2 linked regions of the Lytechinus pictus genome follow. The protein of the gene in region 2 purifies or fractionates together with the protein of the main gene of each other region. This does not show direct contact. Links are inferred from orthologs where the notes say so. Each region holds a gene or a part of one and is shown on either strand. Other genes may lie near its edges. The genes, in order: mitochondrial intermembrane space import and assembly protein 40-like and cytochrome c oxidase subunit 6B1-like.

What was found.
Region 1: the proteins of cytochrome c oxidase subunit 6B1-like (region 2) and mitochondrial intermembrane space import and assembly protein 40-like purify together in Homo sapiens (co-immunoprecipitation; 3 studies listed by BioGRID and IntAct, with this or other methods). This does not show direct contact. The link is inferred for Lytechinus pictus from reciprocal best matches to the Homo sapiens genes COX6B1 and CHCHD4.

Annotation. Positions count from the first base shown.
Region 1 is NC_087247.1:23,670,509-23,681,955, forward strand, and holds the start of mitochondrial intermembrane space import and assembly protein 40-like, read right to left. Parts: upstream 5,617-11,447; 5' UTR 5,540-5,616; intron 5,296-5,539; 5' UTR 5,210-5,295; coding exon 5,188-5,209; intron 3,507-5,187; coding exon 3,414-3,506; intron 2,580-3,413; coding exon 2,269-2,579; 3' UTR 1-2,268.
Region 2 is NC_087254.1:36,808,408-36,820,521, forward strand, and holds cytochrome c oxidase subunit 6B1-like, read right to left. Parts: upstream 6,034-12,114; 5' UTR 3,681-6,033; coding exon 3,486-3,680; intron 1,492-3,485; coding exon 1,438-1,491; 3' UTR 529-1,437; downstream 1-528. UniProt on the Homo sapiens protein: Component of the cytochrome c oxidase, the last enzyme in the mitochondrial electron transport chain which drives oxidative phosphorylation.

The sequences.
Region 1 (11,447 bases), on a different chromosome or scaffold from region 2:
GAAGGAATAAAGAAGGAACAAAAATAAGAAAGAAAGAAAAGAAAAAAGAAATGAAGGAAAGAAATGAAGCAAGCAATACAGAAAGAAAGAACAAATCCAGAAAGTAGTAAAGGAAAGAAAGAAGAAGCAATACAAAAGAAAGGGTATAAGGAGAGATGGAAAGAAGGACAAAAGAAAGAAAGAGAGGAAGGAAGGATTGAAAGAAGGAAGAAAGGAATCAAGGAAGAAATAAAGGAAAGGTAAAATGATAGATAGAAGGAAAGAAATAAATAAAGGAAGGGAAGGAAGGAAAGAAGCAAGCAATATAAAAAGAAAAAGTAAAAGAATAGATGAAAGGAAGAAAAAAAAAAGACTGAGAGACAAAGAAAGGAAGGAATGAAAGAATAAAGGAGAGAAAGGAAGCAAGCAGTCAAAAAAAGAAGAAAGGAAAGGTAAAAGGATAGATTTAACAAAGGGAAAAGGAAAGAACAAGACAGATAGAAGAAAGGAAGGAATGAATGAAAGAGAGAGCTGAAAGAAGGAAGAAATAAAAAAAAACAAGAAAGGGTAAATAAATGATGGATGGAAGGAAGAAAGAAACAAAGAAAGTAACGAAGAATGAAGGAAAGAAAAGGGTAAAAAGAAGGAAGGAAAGAAAGGAAGGAAGGAAGGAAGAAAGAGAGAAAGAAAGAAAGAAAAAAAAGAAAGAAAAAAGAAAGAGAGAGAGAGAAAAAAGAAATAGAGAAAAATATTTTTTATACGGATAGAAAGAATGAAAGAACGAATTAAAGAAAAAAAGGGAAAATAAAAAAAAAAGACAGTACCAAAAAAATGAAAGAAGAGAGGGAAGAAACAAAGAAAGATTGAAAAGAAAGAAGGAAAGAAAGATAGGAAGAAAACAGAGGAAGAAAGCTAAAACTATCATGATAAATAATTTATCAGTATCTTTTTGGCTCAATTAAAATAGCTACGAAAGAAAGTCAGAAACCAAGTGTATCAACACACACATAAATGCATATGTGGGGCTAATATGTATTCAGACGATATCACCCGAAACCCGATCTGTTTGAACCAAACAGAAGTGAAAATTTCTCCTTTTACTGCTTACAAATGACAGAGTTACTCCAATTTTTAGGAAATATGGACATTATAAGAGCCTTTCATGAGTATGAACCGTGAATTTTGATAGTTCTGTGAGAGATTTCTGCCAGAGTTTAGCAAAGTTTCGTTCGCGCAGCCAGTAGAGAATTTACCACATGGGTTGTGTGGCTGGCTACATGTACACTGTATCTACTCTAGTAACACTTACGTGCAATTCATTCTGTGTGTATTCTGTGTGTGAATGACAGAATTTGTCGGGGGGAAATGGTTTGCAGTGAATTTGACCATTTCTGGAAAAGTTATTGGCCCAACAATGGTTTTCATTACTGGTCATGTCGGACCCTTAAAATCTTGCTATTTTTGGAAAAATTACTGGCCCGACAATGATATTTTTTACTGGTCATGTCGGACCAGTAAATCTTCCTATTTTTGAAAATCTACCGGCCCGACAGCGATTTTTACCGGTCTGGGACCGTCGGACCGCCGCTAGTGTCGAGCCCTGTAATAACATACAGATATTCATCACCATGAAACAGCACTGAAATTGATTGAATTTCTGATTGAATCAATATGTCCTGGTGATTGGTCTCATTACTTATAGCTGCACTCATTTATTACTCTTGCATTATAAAAAAAATAATTTGAACTAAATTTTGTCAAATCCCAGATAAAATATGAGGTTTAGTAAACAAAGTAAAGTATGGGGGTACTGCAAGAAACTTGCATTCAATTGCAAGTCAATTTTACATCCTATAATTATTCATAATTCTTGAAATAATTGAACGATGGATGTTCCAAGCAATAACAAAAATAATTTGCAATTGAAATTAACAACTGAATGCACATGAAATAGGCTCCTGCAGCAAACCCCAAGAAGTATTGGCCATATTCTCCACAGTGCCAATAATGTGACGCAGCTAAGAAGTGGAAATTGAGACACTCTACAAATTTTGGTGACTGGTTTGGAGAATGTAATTAGGGTTATTCCATATAATGCCATAGCGAAGCAATTGCATTTCAAAAGAATGCCATATCTTCTTCACCGAGCAGGGAAGTCATATCAGCACCAAGTTATTTTTTGTCGGTGACTTCAACAGCAGTATGATTCCTATTCATTGGATAAATCAATTATAACAGGTAAAAAAGGTATAAAAGTCCAGAGCTTTTTCCCTCTTCTATCCTTACACGTTAGCTGACATTCTCCTTGTCCGTTTCACTTTTTGCTTGGTCCTTTTCAATCTCTTCTTGAGACGCTTCTTGTACAATGTCCGCAGATTCACTAGGATCTGACTTCTCGTTCATGGGGTACAGTTCAGGGTAGGTGACCATGCATTCCTGCATCTTCCGGAAATTGTCTATGCAGTCAGACCCCTTGGGTTCGGCCATGCTGTAGTGGAAGCAGGAGAAGGCCTCCCTGAACTCCATACCACAGGGACCACTGGCCATGCCTCCAAGACAAGGGCAACTCCAGTTGATATCCCCATTAGCAAGGATCAAACCTGTCAAATACAATAAACAGTGTCCGTAAAACCTACAAAATTGTAATACTAGTACATGCATTCAATTTTAAAGTACAAAAAACATTATCTTGCCTTAAAGTTTGATAAGTAAAATGGAATTCTTAACATATATTTCATATAGTCCCTAGTCATTACATTTATTTTGAAAAACTCTTAAATGCTAACTGGCAAGGATAAAAGAAAAAATAACGTCCCCATAAGTTGCTGAAATTACACTTTTCACCGCTACATATAAATGAAATTGAACTGGCCTACTTATTTTCCATATTTCCTTGAAATTCTTTTGATTTAATTGGGAATTATCAAGAGAATCAGAGAGTCTCCCATCTTTCTTGACAATGAAAGATTGTTTTCAATCGATGTCACACTCGATCTACCTACATGAAAGTCTACATGTGGGACTACAATATGTACAATATTGATCTGTAGAATTTCAGCAACATTTTGGGAAGTGTTTTTTTTTTCTTCAATACGGTCACACAGTTGTAGTAGGAAAAAATGAACCTCTTAAAATGTTGTTAGAATGACGTTTAAAATTTTGACTTCGCCCTAATTTCTAGTTTACATCTTACTGCTGGAATGCCCACAAGCTGCCATTACAGATAGTTTACTTTCAAACAAATATCATTAGCTAGGATTTTTAAGGGTGTGGTAACACAAAATATCATGGACATGGTTGCAAACATTTGTTTACATAATTCCTTTTTCCAGATAATGTATCCTTTCTGTACCATCAGTCTAGAAGCAATATGGTAACGTCACATCAGTAAAGTCTTGGGTGATTTAGTCGAGTATCAACAAGATATTATGTACCTTCTGGTTCTTCTTCCTCAGCAAGATATTTGAGTTCCTCCTTGATGGGGGTTTCATGGTCCTCCTTTGTGACGAAGAGAACTTGGTCCTTCCCTGATAATAATAAAAAAAATAATCACAAAGATCAACGTAAGAACACAGAAACATGTCTACAATAAGTTTTGTTTGTACAAAAAGCCATTGTATATTACTGATCATCACTGCTTGTACTTGCAGTGATTTACAAAAGTAAGATTGGTATTTAGAAGGGATTTGTAATGCGCCAAATCCGCTCTGCACAGTGCCCAAGGTGCAATGGAAGAGAAAGAGAGAGAAAAGTAACGGCGAAGGACAATGAGAAACAAGATGGCGGCGTAAGCATCGGGCAAGTCTCCCCCGTCTTTTCATATTTTTTTCATTTTTTTATGAATTCTTGTTTATAAATGAAATTGATAGCGTAGAAATGTCGGAAATGAAGTTGTATCCGATTTACATGATTTAAGGCTAGATCTTATAAGTAGAAATCTCGGGGGCCAAAGTTTCAGGTTTTTTGGCGGTATACGCAGATAAATGGGATGGAATCCCAGGCTCCGTTGGAGAGTAAGCATACGTTAGTAAAATATTTTTACTCTCAAGGAGCCTCTTGGCTACCCAGACCGGCTTACACTGCTTTCAGTATAGGTGGCAACTGTCTTTGGCAAAACAAAGCCTAAAGTAAAGGTATGATCTAATGATCATGATGTTTTTGTTTATCCGAAAACTGTTCGGTTTCGACTCCCCATATAAAACTAAGTCAGGCGTTTAACGGAATTGAAAATAACCGTGAATATATAAATAATGCAGCACTCGGCTACCGACGAGTGACGTGACATGATTTGCTCAGCCAGGCCCACCTTACCTTAATGCCCGTTGTTTTTAAACGTTGTTAATGCACGTCCGCCCAGTACATGTATCTATCGCGCTCCAGCTACATGTAGCTCCACGCACTTCAGACTCAGTGGCCCGTATTCTGAAGTCGGGTTTAACTTAAACTCAGGTTTAAAGTTGTGGTTTAAGTATGGACAGCCAATTGTTACATAAACCACTAACGGTAGAGATATCATACTTCAGCCCATTCTGCTCTCAAATCATTCATAATTGTGTAAAAAGTACGTATAAATAGATGATTGTCTTCACCATCGATGAATCAGGAAAGAGCACAGTAAACATCACCCAAGGGTTCATTACATGCTGCCGCGCACAGAAAAATCAAGCCATAGAAGTCATGTGTTGTGGACACCAGAAGTGAGATCCCATCACGCGAGACCCACTAGCTAGTTAGAAATCCACTGCCACACGCGGTTCATGGTGCGAGGTTAGTATACTATTAATACCACTCACACTAATAGTAATACGAGGTACTAGCCTCGCAATACGTGTGAGTGAGTAAACATAGGAAATGTACAATTACAACTTAATAAAAAAAATGATACATTTGGCTTCCCATACTTAAACCACAACTTTAAACCTTAGTCTAAGTTACACCTGACCTCAGAATACGGGCCAGTGAAACAAGCTGAGGCTGCCTGAGCGCTAGCGCGCCAGGGCCCAGGGATCGGGAAGGGGACGGGCCGTTGGACAGGGGCTAGGCTGGGGCAGCCGGCAACCGCGGGGAAGTACGGCGTAATCATCATCATGAATGATGAAGTAGATGATGAAGAATGTTGCGAAGAAATACTTCAGAGTTCAGAATACACCCTTTTCAAATCATGCTTTAAAAACATAAAAGAGAATAATCTGAGAACATTATACATACCCTCTTGGCGACAATACGACATTGTTGTTTATCTAATTCTCCCCTAATTCTGTAAGAATTCGACTTGTATTTAGACGCAGCAGCTAACAGTGATGATGTAAGAAATACCTGCACACACATGTGTTACCGTAAATAGTTTTTGTTCAGGAAAATGGTTATATCTTATTACTAAATCCAGATGATAATTTCTTATTATGTAGTAATGGTGCCATTTTATGTATTTAATGGATTTCAGTGTAATGATAATCGATTCTTATGATCATAAAATGCTGGGGCTGGAAATTGATTTCTTATCATTATGCATAGATTTTATCATATTTAGTGAATGGGCTGCTGATCAAAAGACCATTACACTATTGGTAGCTCGAATCGAAATTGAATGGAAAGCAATGGTGCGAGTCGCCACGTATACGCCGCATCCCGGCCGGTCGACCGTACGCCGTATCGTATACCGTTTGTTGGCATATGACCAGACCATAATGTGTAACCGTCTGGTCGACCGATCGTAAATTGTTTAATTTGAGTAGTTTAAAAGAAAATAAAAATATATTCAGGGGATCAGATAGTGTACTGGGACTAGAAGATCAAACTGTATTCACAACCAGACGTCAGTTTTAGGAAAATGGGAAATCCCACGACAAAGGGAAACGCACTTCTACTACCCCTCAGCACGAACTCGAAGGAAACATCCCCGGGCCAGACCGGCGGAGGTAAGCAAGTGTTTTCCTGCTACTAGGACTAGGAGCTAGTATACTAATACCTACCTGGACAAGTTAGTCATATCTTTATCCACCAACCACGGAGTTAGTTTCAATCTTACTAAACCCGTTTCACGAAAGGCTTCCTAACTAGAATACCTTGATATCGATACTATCGGTTGAAAGAGCAGACGAGACGTAGCCTTAGTCACAAAATAGCACAATTTTTTAAAAGTAAAAATATGATAAAACTGCAATTATTGTGATTAATTTGGAAATACATTTAATCAAAATAATAGCAGAGGCAAAATATGTACCATGCATACTTAAACCATGAAGACTGGAGCATTCATTTGCTGAGAAAATCAAATTATGAATAATTCATTTCAATTTCATGACTAAAAACTTACATGTGGACATTGAGATGGGTATCCCCGGGATAGTAGATTTGGATAGTTTACGAAAGTAAACCACAGTTGTTTTCTTTGTGATAATTATGAGTTTATTAATGGTTCCAAACATCATCAAAATATAGTTTAACATAAATTTTAAATGTTTACATACCGAAACACAAGATTTGACAATTTTTTGCATAAATTAGAGATAGCATTTATCAAAAATGTTGATAAGTGTCTGAGAACGACGAATACGAGTCCAGTTATGGATGGCCTGACGTGGTAGAATCTTTATCGATTCAATTATTTTACTATTTCAAAATGAATGGTTTTGTTGCGTTTGACCAACAGTTTTTATAGTTTCTGTGCATTACAAAAATTATTGAATGATCTATCACACCTGTTTTGTGATGTTATTTCAACTTCTATGAATGATTACGTAAGATTATAATTTTCAAATTTCGAGGCACTTTTGCATGTCATAGTCTACCCACGTGATGCCACTACGTCATTAAGAAAGAAGTTATGACAGGTTCGGAGGTGTCATAAATATTTAGTCAGGTTGTTGTCCCCGATCTTGGCAAAGAGGGCTTCGTGAAACGGTTAGCGGACAAGTAGCTCACTATCTTCGATTTAGTCAAGAAGTTAGACTTATGACGGTGTTGTGAAACGGGCCCCTGAATACTAAAACCTCGCAATACGTGTGACTCTGTGATCGTGAGTGGCTGAAGGCAGGCCTAAAAAACTTAGGCTGGAGGCCAAGCCGAAGGCTTTACTCCCTTTACTGTGCGGATTTTTTACCAGATAAGACAATTATTTTCAGGGAGTTTGAGATCAATATATTATTTTGACTTGTAAATTGTATAAACTATAATGTGAGGCAAATTAAAAAACAAACTTTCACAATGCACAATTTGAAAGTTTGATTTTGAACTTTGATCACACTCACAGACATCTTGACATTGCATCAATCATCATGCATGATCTGTCAGATGCAAATATTTTTTTCTGAATTTCGGAAGCGGATTGGCTGGAACTATTTGTGTCTCTGTGTGTCACTGTAAGATCGATAGATCTTTGTGTCATACAATAATTGCTTCACTCCCAATCCCAGACCATGCAGGCCCGGGTAGCCAGGCGGCTTCTTGAGAGTAAAAATCATTAACTAACGAGTAACGTAGGCTTACTCTAAACGAAGCCAGGGAGTCCTCCCTATTCATCTGCGTGTACCGCAAAAAACCCTGAAACTTTCGCCCCCGAGATTTCTACTTTCCTTCTAAAAGATCTAGCTCTAAATCATGTACATTAACGCGTCCATAACATTGGGGAAGTACAATAAGAAAAAAGATGGCGGCGTAAACATCGGGCAAGTCTCTTCCGTCTTTTCACAATATTTTTTCATTTTTTTAAATGAATTCTTGTTTAAAAATAACAACGAGAGCGTAGAAATGTCGGAAATGAAGTTTTATCCCATGTACATGAGATCTTTTAGAAGGAAAGTAGAAATCTCGGGGGCGAAAGTTTCAGGGTTTTTTGCGGTACATGCAGATGAATAGGGAGGACTCCCTGGCTTCGTTTAGAGTAAGCCTACGTTAGTAAATGATTTTTACTCTCAAGAAGCCGCCTGGCTGGGGGGGGGGGGGGTACTCGACCAAAAAAGTGGTAGGTATGTGCCACGGGCGAGACAAAAAACGGGGGCTGTGGAGCGGGCTTATTGTAAAGAGGAGGGTCCTCAGAACCGAACGGCTTCGGAACTACAAATGTTTGTGAAAACTGGGGTCCTTGGAACGGGTCGCCTGCGTGTGAGTGCATATGCATCCCTATGGAATGGGCATACGTGCATGCAGCTAGTACGGGTGCCGGGTGCGCTTGCGCAGAGGCGATGGTCGGACAGCGATCTGCGGCCGCTTTTCACCAAAAATGCAGCTAATTGTAGCGGATCATTGCAGCCGGAACGGCGTAACGAAATATACGGTATGCGAAGCTTTGGAACTGATTTCTTTCTTCTTTCTCAATAAGAAGAAAATGCTATGCTTTGGAGCGGCTTTCTTTTTTTTTCTCAATAAGATAAAAATGCTATGCCTTGGAACGTAAATTTGAGTGTAAAAAGGGGGGTCCTCTCCGCAGCACCTACCCACAATGCATTATACATGTATACTGAGTGCCCCCCCCCCCCCCCCCCCGGGCATGCAGGGAGCCAAGCAATGCGCAACAGAGTGCATTGCAGTGTGAGACAATCTTTTTTTTCAAACGTGGTCATTTGTTGGTGCAACTGCAAGGAATAATGTTGCTAACTAAAATTGATAAACGCTTTTGGTCATAAGCAGATAAGAGAAATGGCTACATATATAATAGTCGAGCATTGTATTACCGCCTTGCCGCCGACCACTAGTATCATGATTCCGGATGCGCCATTTACTGCGTACAAACACGATTTTGTGGCGTATGACTTCCGCAGTTTAATTTCAGAGAGCAATAAATGGAACAAGATTTACAAAAACAAGTCGAAAAAAATCAAACTTTTACCTTGTATCTCCAAAAAGACAGAAAATGCTTAGAATTAAAAATATCGTAACATACTTTTTGTATTTTTCTGTTGGAAATATGGGCCTGATTTGCCGAATTTCAATCTCGTCCATGCCTTTGATCGAATGTTAAAGGTGTGGTGTACTATTTGTTGGTGATCGTTGACAGTTAGACTCAAGGTATACCGTGCGTGAGGTTTACAATGTGTATTGCCATCGACAGCGCATCGATAGAACATAAGCATAATATTGGAAAGAGTGATGGAACATGCAGCTTAAAAGAAATTAAAATTAGTTAGCACAAATCTATTGCCAACATGTTTAGGGTTGGTTAAGGTTACCTTAGGCAATGGTTCGTGTACGCTCCACTACAATACACAGTCTACATACACTACTGCTACATTACACGAAAGTGATGAACATCAGGTTCATCCCATAGGAATTGGTCCGTCAATTCACTCTCTGTACACTTTTTGTCATAAATAAGCATAATTGATGCAAAAACATGAACTTACATATATATGTAGATGTACTCCAGTGATCAGCAACTACATGTACATCACTCCTTTTTCATTCTTCTATCAGTCTAAAAATTGATGATGTAAACCATGTAGGGGAGATTGGGGTTAGTTGGAATGTGGGGTAAGTTGAAACATTGTAATTTTCTTTAACACTTATTGCCATTAGCAACAGCCGTCCACCATATTACAGACAACACATGTGCAACAAGCCTGGTGAAGTTAGAAAGAAATGTTTGTTTTTTGTCTAACCTGCATAGCAGAGTGAGACTATAGGCGTCGCTTTTTCGCCACCCCGCCTAAGGTTAGTTTTTGAAATGACAGCATAACTAAATTTAGAAAGTATATGGACCTACATGTAGTTCATGAAACTTGGACATAAGGTTAATCAAGTATTACTGAACATCCTGCTTGAGTTTCAGGTCACATGACCAAGGTCAAAGGTCTTTAGGGTCAATGAACTTAGACCATGTTGGGGGAATCAACATCAAAATCTTAACCTAAAGTTAAGTTTTTGAAATTTCGTCAAAACATTGAAAGTATATGGACCTACATGTAGTTCATGAAACTTGGCCATAAGGGTAATCAAGTATTACTGGATATCCTGCATGAGTTTCAAGTCACATGACCAAGGTCAAGGGTCATTTAGGGTCAATGAACTGTGACCAAGTTGGGGGTATTTGTTGAATTACCATCATACTCTGTAAGTGTATTGGTCTAGTTCATAAAACTTGGACATAAGAGTAATCAAGTATCACTGAACATCTCATGCATGTTTCAGGTCACATGACCAAAGTCAAAGGTCATTTAAGGTCAATGATCTTTGGCCATTTTGGAGGTAATTATTAGATTGTTGTCATAACTTTCAAACTTCAAAGTTTATACAATGTAGATATAGTTTATTAAATGTGGATATAGGGGTAATCAAGTATCACTGACAAGTCTTAGGTCGCATGATCAAGGTCAAATGTCATTTATTGTCAATGAATATAGTATTGTATCATTATATGAATTGTGTTTTTTTATGAATAATTATGTTATAATAGTTTTCAAAGTCAGCACTGCTGTTATATTGAATCGTGTGATGCAGGTGAAACTGCCAGAGGCGCTCCACTTGTTTCACCTTCTGAGTATTTTTTTTTTCTTTCAGAAATTTTTTATTATCTCAGAGAAGTTTATACTGGTAGATCAAGTTGGTCACCTTGGGCCTAATAGACACTTGTACCTGTAACAAGGCAAGCTACAAAATAAGGTTGTTAATATGCCATGATGAAGTCCCTTTTTCATGCTGTAAGCATGGAGCTATTAAGAGAGCTCTATGCTGTAAGCTTGTAAATGTCACATGGGCCTCTGGGGTTAGTTGGAACAAAATTGAAGGTGCTATTTGGAACAGGAAATGTGTTAACTGCAATATAAGAAGTTGCCAAATTGATTACCCAATTTGTATTTTTGTTTTACGTGCTAGGTGCATTTTATTGGGTACGGTACCACACTTTGTTTGTATCTCATGTTTGACAACAATGTTCATTAGTTTTTAGCATAATTTACCCTTTCATTCATTCAGTTCTGACCTTTAATTTTTATTGTATGGTATAGTTAAATACTTCAAAGTACAGTTAGAGGTGTGTGTTCCTATAATAATCCCCAACTTTGCCCCTACCTAATGAGTAATTAGATTTTGGCACCATACATGTACATTTGTCATGAAAGCCACTATTTATATTTCATATACAGTATCAGCCTCCATATTCATTTTATTACTGAGTTACAGTTAAAAAACTACTTTGCATAAATATTTATCTGATTATAGTAATTAATGTAATAAAAAATTGATGCAGAAGTAATAATAACGGTATATTTACCCAGGGTAGCCAATTCAGTTCTGAAAACTGTTCTCCCAGTGGGCCCTGCTATTATCATTACCTGGCTAAGCTAGGCTACATGTACCTACCGTATTCAGGTGCACACAGCTTTTTGAGGAATTACTTCCTGCCGGTACCCATTTACCTCACCTGGATCGAGTGCAGCACACTGTGAATGAATTCCTTGCTGAAGGAATTTCCGCCATGGCTGGGATTTGAACCCACGACCCTCTGTTTCAAAGTCTAGAGACTAATTCGCTGG
Region 2 (12,114 bases):
ATAGCCCTACTCATTTCCTCTCCTTCAACTCTCATCATGGAAGAATTGTCATGGGTGAACCACTTGTGGTTCCTCCACACACTCAAATCTGTTTTATTTCTCACACTTCTCTCTTAGTCTGACAATTTTGTCTCACAACTGATCATTGTACATGTATTAGGTTGTACCTGTGAATTTGCCTCATCTTGAATCGGTACTACATGTACACTTTTCATGAAATCAATTTCAACAACAAATTTAAGTAGGGGAAATTATTTGAAAAGTTGGAATAGTTTTTCCATCCATATTTTCAGCTTTAAGCTCGATGGACATTAAAAGTTGATATTCTGCTAATTTGTCTCCTTTTCTTTCTCTTTGTATTGTCATCTATATAATATCTCATTTCATTCCTTTCCCAGCTTGTTCCTTCTCTTTTCATCTTTCCCCATTTCTATCTCTTTCTCTCTCTTGTTTGTTCCATTTTTTTTTACACCCTCTGCTCTCTCTCACATACACCAACACAAAAATCAAACGTACTATTCATTCATATCTCTGTGTACCCTTTGTTTATATCAACCCGAAGCTTAAAACAATGATCTGGGCAACCTACTGTAACTGCCTTTTTTGGGGAAATAATGGCCAATTTCATAAAAGATTCAACATCTGACCCCTAAGTTTCTTGGTTCTTTTACTTGAGATCAGGAACTGCACAAGCCATGATAATCTGAGAGTATGACTTTTCATATGAAGTTGGAAACAAAGAAAGATCACTTCATGGAGTTCCCACATTTAGGGTATCAGATTACATATTTTATGGAATTGCCTTAACATATACAATGCTTTACATCTGAGACAACCCCAGCAAAGATTGAGATTTTTCAAAGAGTATTTAGAGTTCAAAATTTATTCAAATATCAGTTTTAAACTCATATTTCTTCACCTCATACGATAATTTAATTAATCAGAATCAACAGTAAGCACAACACACCTGAGTAGTGAAGAACAATTTGCTCAGGTAGTATTTACAAAAACACAACCAACAAATGATAAAATTCAAAGAATTCATTTGAGAAGAACCTCATGTTCTTAGATGGGCAATGACAAAAAATGCTTTCAAATTCTAATTTTGTTACGAACCACTGTAATAAATCTCCATCTTGCAAAAATATTGCATAACAATGTGCAAGAAAAATGTATATCTTATTTACTTAGGATTGATTTTAGAGTTATATATTTCCAAAATAGGGCAATAAGGATTATGGTCTGGTGCGTGTATGCACATAATGTTCTAGAATCAAGATAATTAGTCCGATGCATTAAATTTTTCTGACGTCAGATTAAGATGATGATGAATGTGTTTTTCACTTTGGCTTGTCAACTCATAGAGGTACAGGAACAACGGTGCTAAACTCTAGTAGAATATAAACATCTGATGGTATCTACAGGTCAAGTGGCACATCATATCTTGGATGCAAATGTCCCTTCTTCTCTCTGAGTATCCCAGTTCTCAACCTGTAAACCAAGATCACACAGATTCATTGTATTAAAACAACGATAAAAGGGATCAATGGTTTGTCATGAGGATCACTGAAAAGGTTCATTTGGGGCCCGTCTTACAAAGAGTTACGATTGATCAGATCAATCGCAACTACGGAAAGCCAGCAACGTCAACATCTAAAATATATGTTTGTTCAAAATATTTTCTTGACAATTCAGTATGCTTCTCTTTGTTTTCAAAGGACATAGAGCAAATTTCCAAAAGAAAAATTCTGACATTGATGGATTTCCATATACTTGAGATTGATCGGATCAATCATAACTATTTGTAAGACGGGGCCCCGATTTGTGAGCAGACATGACAAAATTGTTAATTCACAATCACAAAATTTACCTGTTTTTTGGTAAGCTTTCGCTTGCTAGGCTTGCAAGCTTCATCTCACCATAGCTGTTGTAGCTGGTGCTGTTGCTAATGCAGCATACCAAAAACAGTAAACAATTTTGTGATTGTGGAATGAGGAATGTTCTCGTGTCATGAGGATGAGGATGTAAAGAAAAGATGAAAGAGAAAACTACATGTACCAATGCGTTGTTGGGAAAGGGTACAAGGAGAGTCTTTAGATCTGAAAAACATTTGTATTAAAGCTAAGTTCAAGTTCTGGTATAGAGATCTAATTTCGATAGGAAATGATTGGAAGCAATACTGGGGCCCGTTTCATAAAGAGTTACAACTGTTGGAACTTTGCCATTATGGCAACTTCCATGGCAACAGGGATCAGTAGCCAATCAAAATCAAGGTTACCAATCCATGGTAGTTGCCATAATGGCAAAGTTACAACAGTTGTAACTCTTCATGTGGAATGAGTAATGGGTAATGTAGGAGCGCCTTGAGCACCTAACAAGGTGGATATGTGCGCAATATAAATACCCTATATTATTATTATTATTATTCATGAAACGGGCCCCAGAAATCTCTGTCACATGCCAAAATGCTTATCTTTAGAACAAAGTTTAACCAAAGTAATTCAGGCTTGCTTGAAATTGTATTCAATTAATTTTCCACACGCTTTTCCTAGTGTAGCTACATGTATATGCATTAACACAGGAAAAAACATGAGGGACCACACAAAATGGATGGGTATTTTTCAGTAATTTTTCTGATTTTCAGTTGCTTAATACACTCTAATTATTTTCCTGAGAAAAACCTTTGAGTGAATATTACTTCTTTACAGTTTCCATAATTTTGCTTATTAAATTTCATTAAATTCTGTGAACTTTTTTTTTTTTTGCTTAGCAGTACCACAGTTCATAATGGGGTAAAATTACTTTGGAAAAGCAGAAATGTGTGCTTCTGGCAGAATAAGAAGTATACCATATCTTTGAGGGGAAAAGAGGTGGGGGGGGGGGGAGGTGGAGGGGGTAGAAATAAGAGGATTTCTACTACTAATTTTTTTATGGCAGAAAGAAGCTGCTGAAAACTGCTTATCTAATAAAAGAGAGCCAATGGAGTAAATTAGAGAGTCAAAAGGGGCCTAAGCTTTCGATCCTAGCAGAATCTTCTTTGGAGGCAAAATGACCACTTTTTTATGTAAAAGAGATATTTAGCTTGTGAACACAAGGAACTTGGATTGAATTGCACTTTACAGTGTACAGCGCCATGTACATGTATGTACATGGCATTGAGCTGGCACTTCACAGGAATTGCATTGAACACCATACACATCAAAGTCAATATGCAACAAGCATCATTTTGTACTCTACCTAATTATCTAAAATTACATACATGTATCTGTTCACAAAACAAAATGATTTTTTTATACCAACATCTTGAAATCAGACACATGTTTAATAGCAGACAATGAAATGTCCATGTGTAACAGCAGTTTAATAGACTCATATAAAGCTTGGCTGATATCTGATTTATATGATCAAATTTGGGCAATAGATGTAATATAATAGATCATAGATCGAGGCCTGTCCATATATATCATTAAGATAATTATACTCACCCATGCAAGTGGACATAATGACTTGTAGACTCTCCTGAAGTATTCACAAGGCTCGTAGTCATCTCCCTTCTTTTTCTGGCAACGGTGGAAATCTACATAGTTCTGCCAGCAGTTCTTGGTCTGGTTTGTGTTGGGGAAGCGGGCATCAAAAGGTGCAGTCCTGTAGTTCTCAAGAATTTCCTTGAATTCCGACATATTGTGCTATTTAGAATGATACAGAGTAAATGGAAAGAGAGAGGAAAAGGTAAATAAACAGATGAATAGATCAAAGTATTTTTTTTCCTTAATTTTCAAATGTTGATCTTGCAGCCAAGGAGGAAAATTAATCATCTCTCCCCTACCATTTTGCGAAACAAGACAGGCATACATTATCTGCAACCTACCGTGTACAGTGGTCTGAACTTGTTCTTTATAATTCTTTACATACATGTAAAGTACGGCCACCATCTGTACCATGAGTGTAACTACCATGGAAAGCTTGATTTTGATAGGCTGCTGAGCCCTGTTACCATGGTACATGTAGTTGCCACAATGGCAAATGTGTTAGGTACATTAGTTGCAAACTCTTTTATATAAAATGGGCCCTTGGTGTATTCTCGTACTGTTGTGCAGTGTCTCCCTACAAAGGGTCTGAAATAAACAACATGCAACTAAAAGACATCCTGGATCTTGAAGCTTGGAAGATCTATGTGACCACAAACAAGGCACTACAAGGGGAAGACTGGACATTTTGGGGGAATTCGTATTCATTTTAATACACAAATTCCCCTAAAGTATCCAATCTTTCCTAACAGTAAAATCACCAAACAAAGTGTCTCATCTTCCCTTTGTGTTTGCTTGTGATAATGTGTGCCAAACACAGTACAAGGGTCATCCATTCCATATAATGGCCACCAAGCAACAAGAAGCTGCATCTAGCACGGCGACCATACACGGGGCCACAGCAATCCGGCACAGCAACAACAAAAAATCGATCACCACTAAATCCTGTGAAACTTTTCCCACTTCACCGGTGCCGTGCCGTGTTGTGCCATACAGCGTTATTTGCCGGATTTCCAGATCGATCATCAAGCCATTTTCAGAGAACGGCACACGGCATTTTTCACTTCTGGCCAATCACAGCCCAGATATATTACATAATTGCCCACAAATCTTCTGATCAAGCGACCGATCGCCTGCGGTGATGGTCTGTGGGAGTTTACGTGTTAAATGCAAAATCGCACACATAGGTCTATGTGTATTACTCTGAAAAGAGGTGATCAAGACAACAGTCAACTCTAAAGGAACTGGATTGATCTGGCCATTCTTGAATGTGGTCGGGTCAGCAACTTATTAACAACAAATAGATCTAGGCCTTACATGTAGTGTCATTTTGTATATTGTAGAACTGAGCCCTAGAAAATATTAGAAGACAAGAAAATAAGGCTAAAATATAAGGCCGAAAATAGTACATCTAGATTCTAACTTCGTTAACGTTAGGGCCTACAGACAGCACTCAGTTTGGATCCAACAACGCTTTAGTAAATTCAGTCGTAGTAACATAACAGTTAGATATAACGTTGTTTCTGGGGATTTAGACTTCTAATAAAAGACTAATGATAGGCCTTCCGGCACAGCATACGGCACGGTATGCCGTTTTCCCGTTTCCACTGTCCCACGGCACGGCATTAAAAGCCGTGCTCGGATGCCATCCGGCAGGCAAAAACCGTCCGATGTTTCCATGACAACCAAAGGCAAAGAAAATGGCAGCCTCCACGAAGGCAGTAGATGAAGCTGTTGTAATAGCGTGTTCATGCGTTGTTCTCTCAAAGAGATAATGGATTCACGACATCAACAAAAAGAGAGATGAACACGGAGAATATTCTGTCCTATACAGAGAATTGGAGAGAGACCAAGAAAAGTTTCACTGATACTTCCGGATGAACATGGCACAATACCTTGAGCTGCATGGATTGGTCAAGCATGGTATCCAGAAGATAACAACAACATTCCGAGTCCCAATTTCGCCATGAGAGAGGTTGGCCATCTGTTTGAGGTAAACACAAGCATAATCATAACATTTTTACCAGTGTGGCCAGAGCTTTTAACTTTTTTTAGTTTGTTTGTTACATGTATATAACTTTACATGCAGATTTAAGGATTGCATACAGTGTTAAGAGATAATAAGTTGGAGTCTAGATCAAAGACTGTTTAGAATCTCAGTATGATTACAGTTTTTATCTAAGAAAATGATAGGCTACCATACAGTCCTACCACATGATGATGATGGTGATGGTGTTAATGATTATGATCACTGGCAAGTGGCATACATAAGGGGGCGTCGCAGTGGGGGGTATAAACACTTTTTGTGGTTGCACATCAGGACCTAGTGGGTGTGATTGAGTTTTTAAAAACGTGTATCAATCAGATATGATTATTTTTGTCTGGGACTAGACCTTTAACGTCACCATCCAAATATTGGATGTTATCAAAGCTCAAACAGGCGCGGATCCAGGGGGTTACCCCCTAAAAAGGAAATGGGAAAGAAAATGAAAGGAAAAGAAGGGAAAGGGAGAAATAAAACAAAGGAGAGAAAGAGAAAAAAAGAGATATAATAGAGGGGGGGGGGGGAAAGAAGAGGAAAAAGAAAAAGGAAGGAGAGAAAGAAATAACCCTTTTTTATTTACGCAAAATGAAAAGAGAGAAAAGAGGGATAAATAGGGAAATGGAGATGGGAAATTAAAAGGAAGGGGTGAGAGAGGACGAGAAAAAGAAGAAAAAAGAAAGGAAGAGGAAAAGAAAAGAAAAGAAAGAAAAAGAGAAAAGAATGGGATGGAAATAAAGGGAATAGGGAGAAAAAGAGAAAGAAAGAAAAGGGGGAAAATAGAGAATAAAAATAAAATTGAAAAGGGAAAGGACAAGTGCTTATACAGAATTATGTGCATGTCTTGAAGGGTATTATCAGTAATTTTCAGCTCTAGCTGCGCGATCGCATATAAATCATCCCCGAAGCTTTTGGTCTAATGGTTAAGCCTAACTTTAACTTAGTTCTGCGGTGCTAGGTTGGCACCACACGAGATAACAGTAGGCAGGATCTATCTAATGTTAGGCCTAGGTCTAATGTTAGATCTACATGTAGGTCTAGCCTTGATAGATAAATGTCAGAAGTTGTTTGATAGGCCTAGAACTTTAACTGCTTTGGTATGTTCAATCTCAATTTATAATATTTATTTTCACTTGGTCTTTTAAAGTGTTCAGCACCATTAAACAAGTGGAATGCCTCTGGCGGTCTCACCTGCATCACGCGATTCAATATAGCAGCAGTGCTGACTTTGAAAACTACTATAACTCGCACAAGATGTTCAGTGATACTTGGTTACTCTTATTTCCACGTTCTATGAACTAGACCAATACACTTACAGAGATATGATGGTAATTCAACAAATACCCCCAACGTGGCCAAAGTTCATTGACCTTACATGACCTTTGACCTTGATCATGTGACCTGAAACTCGCACAGGATGTTCTGTGATACTTCATTACTCTTATGTCCAAGTTTCACGAGTCAGATCCATAAACTTTCAAAGTTATGATGGTAATTCAACAGATACCCTCATTATGGCCAAAGTTCATTGACCTTTGACCTTGGTCATGTGACCTAAAATGGGCACAGGATGTTCAGTGATACTTGATTACTCTTATGTCAAAGTTTTATGAACTAGACCAACATACTTTCAAAGTTATGATGGTAATTCAACAAATACCCCCAATTTGGCCAAAGTTCATTGACCCTAAATGACCTTTGACCTTGATCATGTGACCTGAAACTTGCACAGGATGTTCAGTAATACTTGATTACTATTATGTCCAAGTTTCATGAATCAGATCCATAAACTTTTAAAGTTATGATGGTAATTCAACAGATACCCCCAATTCGGCCAAAGTTCATTGACCCTAAATGACCTTTGACCTTGGTCATATGACGTGAAACTCATGCAGGATCTTCAGTGATACTTGATTAACCTTATGTCCAAGTTTCATGAACTAGGTCCATATATTTTCTAAGTTATGATGACATTTCAAAAACTTAACCTTAGGTTAAGATTTTGATGTTGATCCCCCAACATGACCCTAAATGACCTTTGACCTTGGTCTTGTGACATGAAACTCAGGCAGGATGTTCAGTAATACTTGATTAACCTTGTGGCCAAGTTTCATGAACTAGGTCCATATACATTCAAAGTTATGATGGTAATTCAACAGATACCCCCAATTCGGCCAAAGTTCATTGACCCTAAATGACCTTTGACCTTGGTCATATGACGTGAAACTCATGCAGGATCTTCAGTGATACTTGATTAACCTTATGTCCAAGTTTCATGAACTAGGTCCATATATTTTCTAAGTTATGATGACATTTCAAAAACTTAACCTTAGGTTAAGATTTTGATGTTGATCCCCCAACATGACCCTAAATGACCTTTGACCTTGGTCTTGTGACATGAAACTCAGGCAGGATGTTCAGTAATACTTGATTAACCTTATGGCCAAGTTTCATGAACTAGGTCCATATACTTTCTAAGTTATGCTGTCATTTCAAAAACTTAACCTTAGGTTAAGATTTGGTGTTGACGCCGCCGCCACCGTCGCCGTCGGAAAAGCGGCGCCTATATAGTCTCACTCTGCTATGCAGGTGAGACAAAAAGAGTCCTCCATGTGGTAAATTGCCAATTCGTCCAGTCACCACATGGTCTACCTTCATTTAATCTAATGCCATTCCGTCCATCAACATTTTGTCTAACAACCATTTGGTCCAATAACCGTTTGGTACAACCATCACTTCGTCTAATCCCCAGTTCGTCTATTACCATTTTGTCTAATAACCAGTTGGTCTAATACCCATTTTCTTTTCATTCATTTTGCACAATTAAAACTTAAGTTTAATAATTATATGGACTATATGGCTATTGGACCATCTGGTTAATAGATGGAATGGCATTAGACTAAATGAAAGTAGACCATGTGGTGAGTGGACGAACTGATGGTAGACCAAACGATAGTAGAAGAGTTGGCAATAGGACGAATTGGAAATAAACACTCCATGTGTATATTTTTCCTTGGCTGATTTAGAATAATTTCCGCTGTAACAGTACTTGGAGAAGAGATAATAAGGGGCAAACCGATGCTATATTTTATATGCGATGTTTCAGACTATAATATGGAGAATAACTTCGCATTAGTGAATGAGTTTTAATCTCAAAAAGCCTTGACTCAGGCTCAGCTTTACATGTAGTTTGGCTAAGTAATACTAATAAAGACTGAGATGAACTCAAGTGGAGATATACATGTACATGTATTCGTCTGTTGTTCTGCTTAATCTGCTGTGGCCCGTTTCTCAACACCGTCATAAGTCTAACTTCTTGACTAAATCGGAGATAGTGAGCGACTTGTCCGCTCACCGTTTCACGAAGCCCTCTTTACCAAGATCGGGTACAACAACCTCACTAAATATTTATGACACCTCTGAACCTGTCATAACTTCTTTCTTAATGACGTAGTGGTATCACGTGGGTAGACTATGACATGCAAAAGCGCCTAGAAATTTGAAAATTACAATCTTACGTAATCAATCATAGAGGTTGAAATCACATTACAAAACAAGTGGATTAATGCATTCAATGATAAGTGTAATACAAAGAAACTATAAAAACTGTTGGTAAAACGCCACAAAACCATTCATTTTGAAATATTAAAATGATTTAATCGATAAAGATTCTACCACGTCAGGCCATCCATAACTGAACTTGTATTTTTTGTTTTCAGACCCCTATACAGTTGGATAAATTCTATCTCTAATTTATGCATACAATTTGTCAAATATTGTATGTTTCGGTATCAATGATTAAAAATGTTTCATTAAACTATATTTTGATGACGCTTGGAATCGTAAAAGACTGTACAATTATCGTCATTTTTACAAATAAAACCGTTATGGTTTACTTTCGTAAAATATCAAAATTGGATATCCCGGGGGTACCCATCTCAACGTCCACAAGTGATTTTTTAGTCATGAAATGAATTATTCATAATTTAATTTTATGTGCAACTGAATGCTCCAGTCTTCATGGTCTAAGTATGTATGATGCATAATTCACCTGTGCTATTATTTAAAAAAAATATATTTCCTAATTCATCACAATATTTGCAATTTTGCCATAATTTTTCTTTTTGAAAATTATGCTATTTTGTGACTAAGGCTACGTCTCGTCTGCTCTTTTTACCAATAGTATCGATATCAAGGTATTCTAGTTAAGAAGCCTTTCGAGAAACAGGTTTAGTAAGATTGGAACTAACTCTGTGGTTGGTGGATAAGGATATGACTAACTTGTCCATGTGTTGAGAAACGGGCCCCTGGACTACACCTTGCTTCACTATAGTATACCCCCTCCATATGAGATACAAAAAAGTGTAGAAAATTTTAGGAGAAAAAAAAAAAAAGGTTTTTAAAACTTGACTCCTCCCAAACAGAAAATTTCAGTCACTTTTGTAACCAAAAATTGTAATTTCCATACAGTTGCAATCTATTTTTTCATTTGTAATGTAGGGACAGTGATTTTCCGTTAAAAAAAATTGCCTTTTCCGTTTCAGAAAATCTCAAATTCCGTTTCAGCATGTCAGAAAACGGAAATTCCTTTTCCCCATAGACTTTGTACACATGGAAAAGTGACAATTCTGTTTACCCATTGAATAGCAATAAAACACTCGCGCTGGTCAAAATTTGTATCTGCCACTGTACCAACAACGCAATAGAATCTGTTCTAATCGGATCTATGCGGGTACACAAAATATTTTGACAAACACACTTGACATGAATATATCCTCACCTTTCACATTATTAGCATTATTTTACGGTTAAATGAAATTTCATTGATAATTTGGTTTTTTTTTTGGACATCATTATCCGCAGTCAACGACTTTCGTCAATCCGCCATTTTTGATTTTAAGACCTCGATATCGTGCTGTTACATCTTTGAACGTAGAGGGCAGCAACACACAACCGTGTTGTTCGAAGGATGTGTGCATGTGAAGCCCAACCCGGCGTCAGCCCGGCCAGCCGGATACTGGCGCGGGGTACAATCGAGAGTGGTGATATCGAGTGCAGTCACGATGTGTGAATTGTCATGATTATAGTGAAGTGAGATCGTGTTTTCTGGGGTTTTGTGGCCATTTTATATTCATATTTTGTTGAGATTTTGGAGTAATTTCTGTTCCTGTTGTGTGTATTTCCGTTTCAAAAGGCCCTTTCCGTGAATTCCGTCCGTTTTCCGCGATCGCGGAAAATCACTGTCCTTAGTAATGTGGGGATCATTTTTTTATTCACTGGAGCGCTCAAAAACTTGAATTTTGGGCATATTTTTTGGCAGGCCCTCTATTGGTGGAAAGTCAAATTTCAAGAAAATTTTCATTTTCCAATCTATTTTTTTAATTGAGAAAAAAATAATCAACAGACTTCAATTTATTTAAGAACCAAGTTGCAATGTAAACTGGCAGTGTAAAAAAATCAAGTATTTGTTCCCCAAACAAGAGAAAATATAATCCAAACATTGCCAACCGTATTTTGCCATACAGGGAATAGTACCAGAAAACCAGAAAATAGCCTTGTTCATTGAATGAGTGACATTTACCATATTTTTTCAAAATTTCTATTTTTTATGACATTAATAATAATATTCAACATTTGTATTAGTTAACTTACGGAAATACACATGATTTTTATTTAATTCAATGACTGTGTTTTTTGTTTTGGTCCAATTATGCTTTTAATAGTCTAATTGTCTGATAGTTGGGCACTTTACTCTAATGCTATTAAGCCTGAGTCGAATCGATTTTAAAATCGGTGTTCGATCGATGTCATCGAACTCCGGTGCAGATTTTGCCAAATCGGTGCATCGAAGAAAAAAAAAATATGTCGGCCAGCCGATTCATTTGGTTCACACAATCAAACATCAAAATAAACAGTAATATCCAACTTGACTACTACTTACTTCATTTATATTTCCCCCAAAATGAAACCGATTGTGTAATTATGATGCCTATTCACCATTAATTTGAAGTTTATTTCGATCATAGTTCGGGTCTTACTCGTCTGCCCGGCTCGTGCCGAGATAATTTATGCACGATGAATTTATGAATGGAAGTCGCCATTCATCGTGCATGCGCAGTACCGTGCTTTAATCAAATCAGAAAATGGCCGGAAATTGATGCGATCAACGTAAAGTAAATCTTGCTTTTCATGAACAATATTAATATCATGACCATAGATACATGATTTAATCGTAATATTTAACAATAATTTGCATATGATAATCATTAATATGATTTTAGAGCTTGATGTGAAACGTTTGTATTTCGTTTCAATTTTCAATGGCGGACATCACATGACGATCGACTTGAGTGAGTGCACTAGTTTAAAAAAAAAAAAATCATCACGTCAGGATTGATTATCGAACATTGTCAACATGTAGAAACTCTTTTGAGATCGTAATATCACCATATAATAATATTTTACATTGTACATGACAAAACAGAAAAATTATGTTTGATTTTTTTTCCATCAATTTGAGGCTTGTTTGTGCCCAACTTTGGGCTC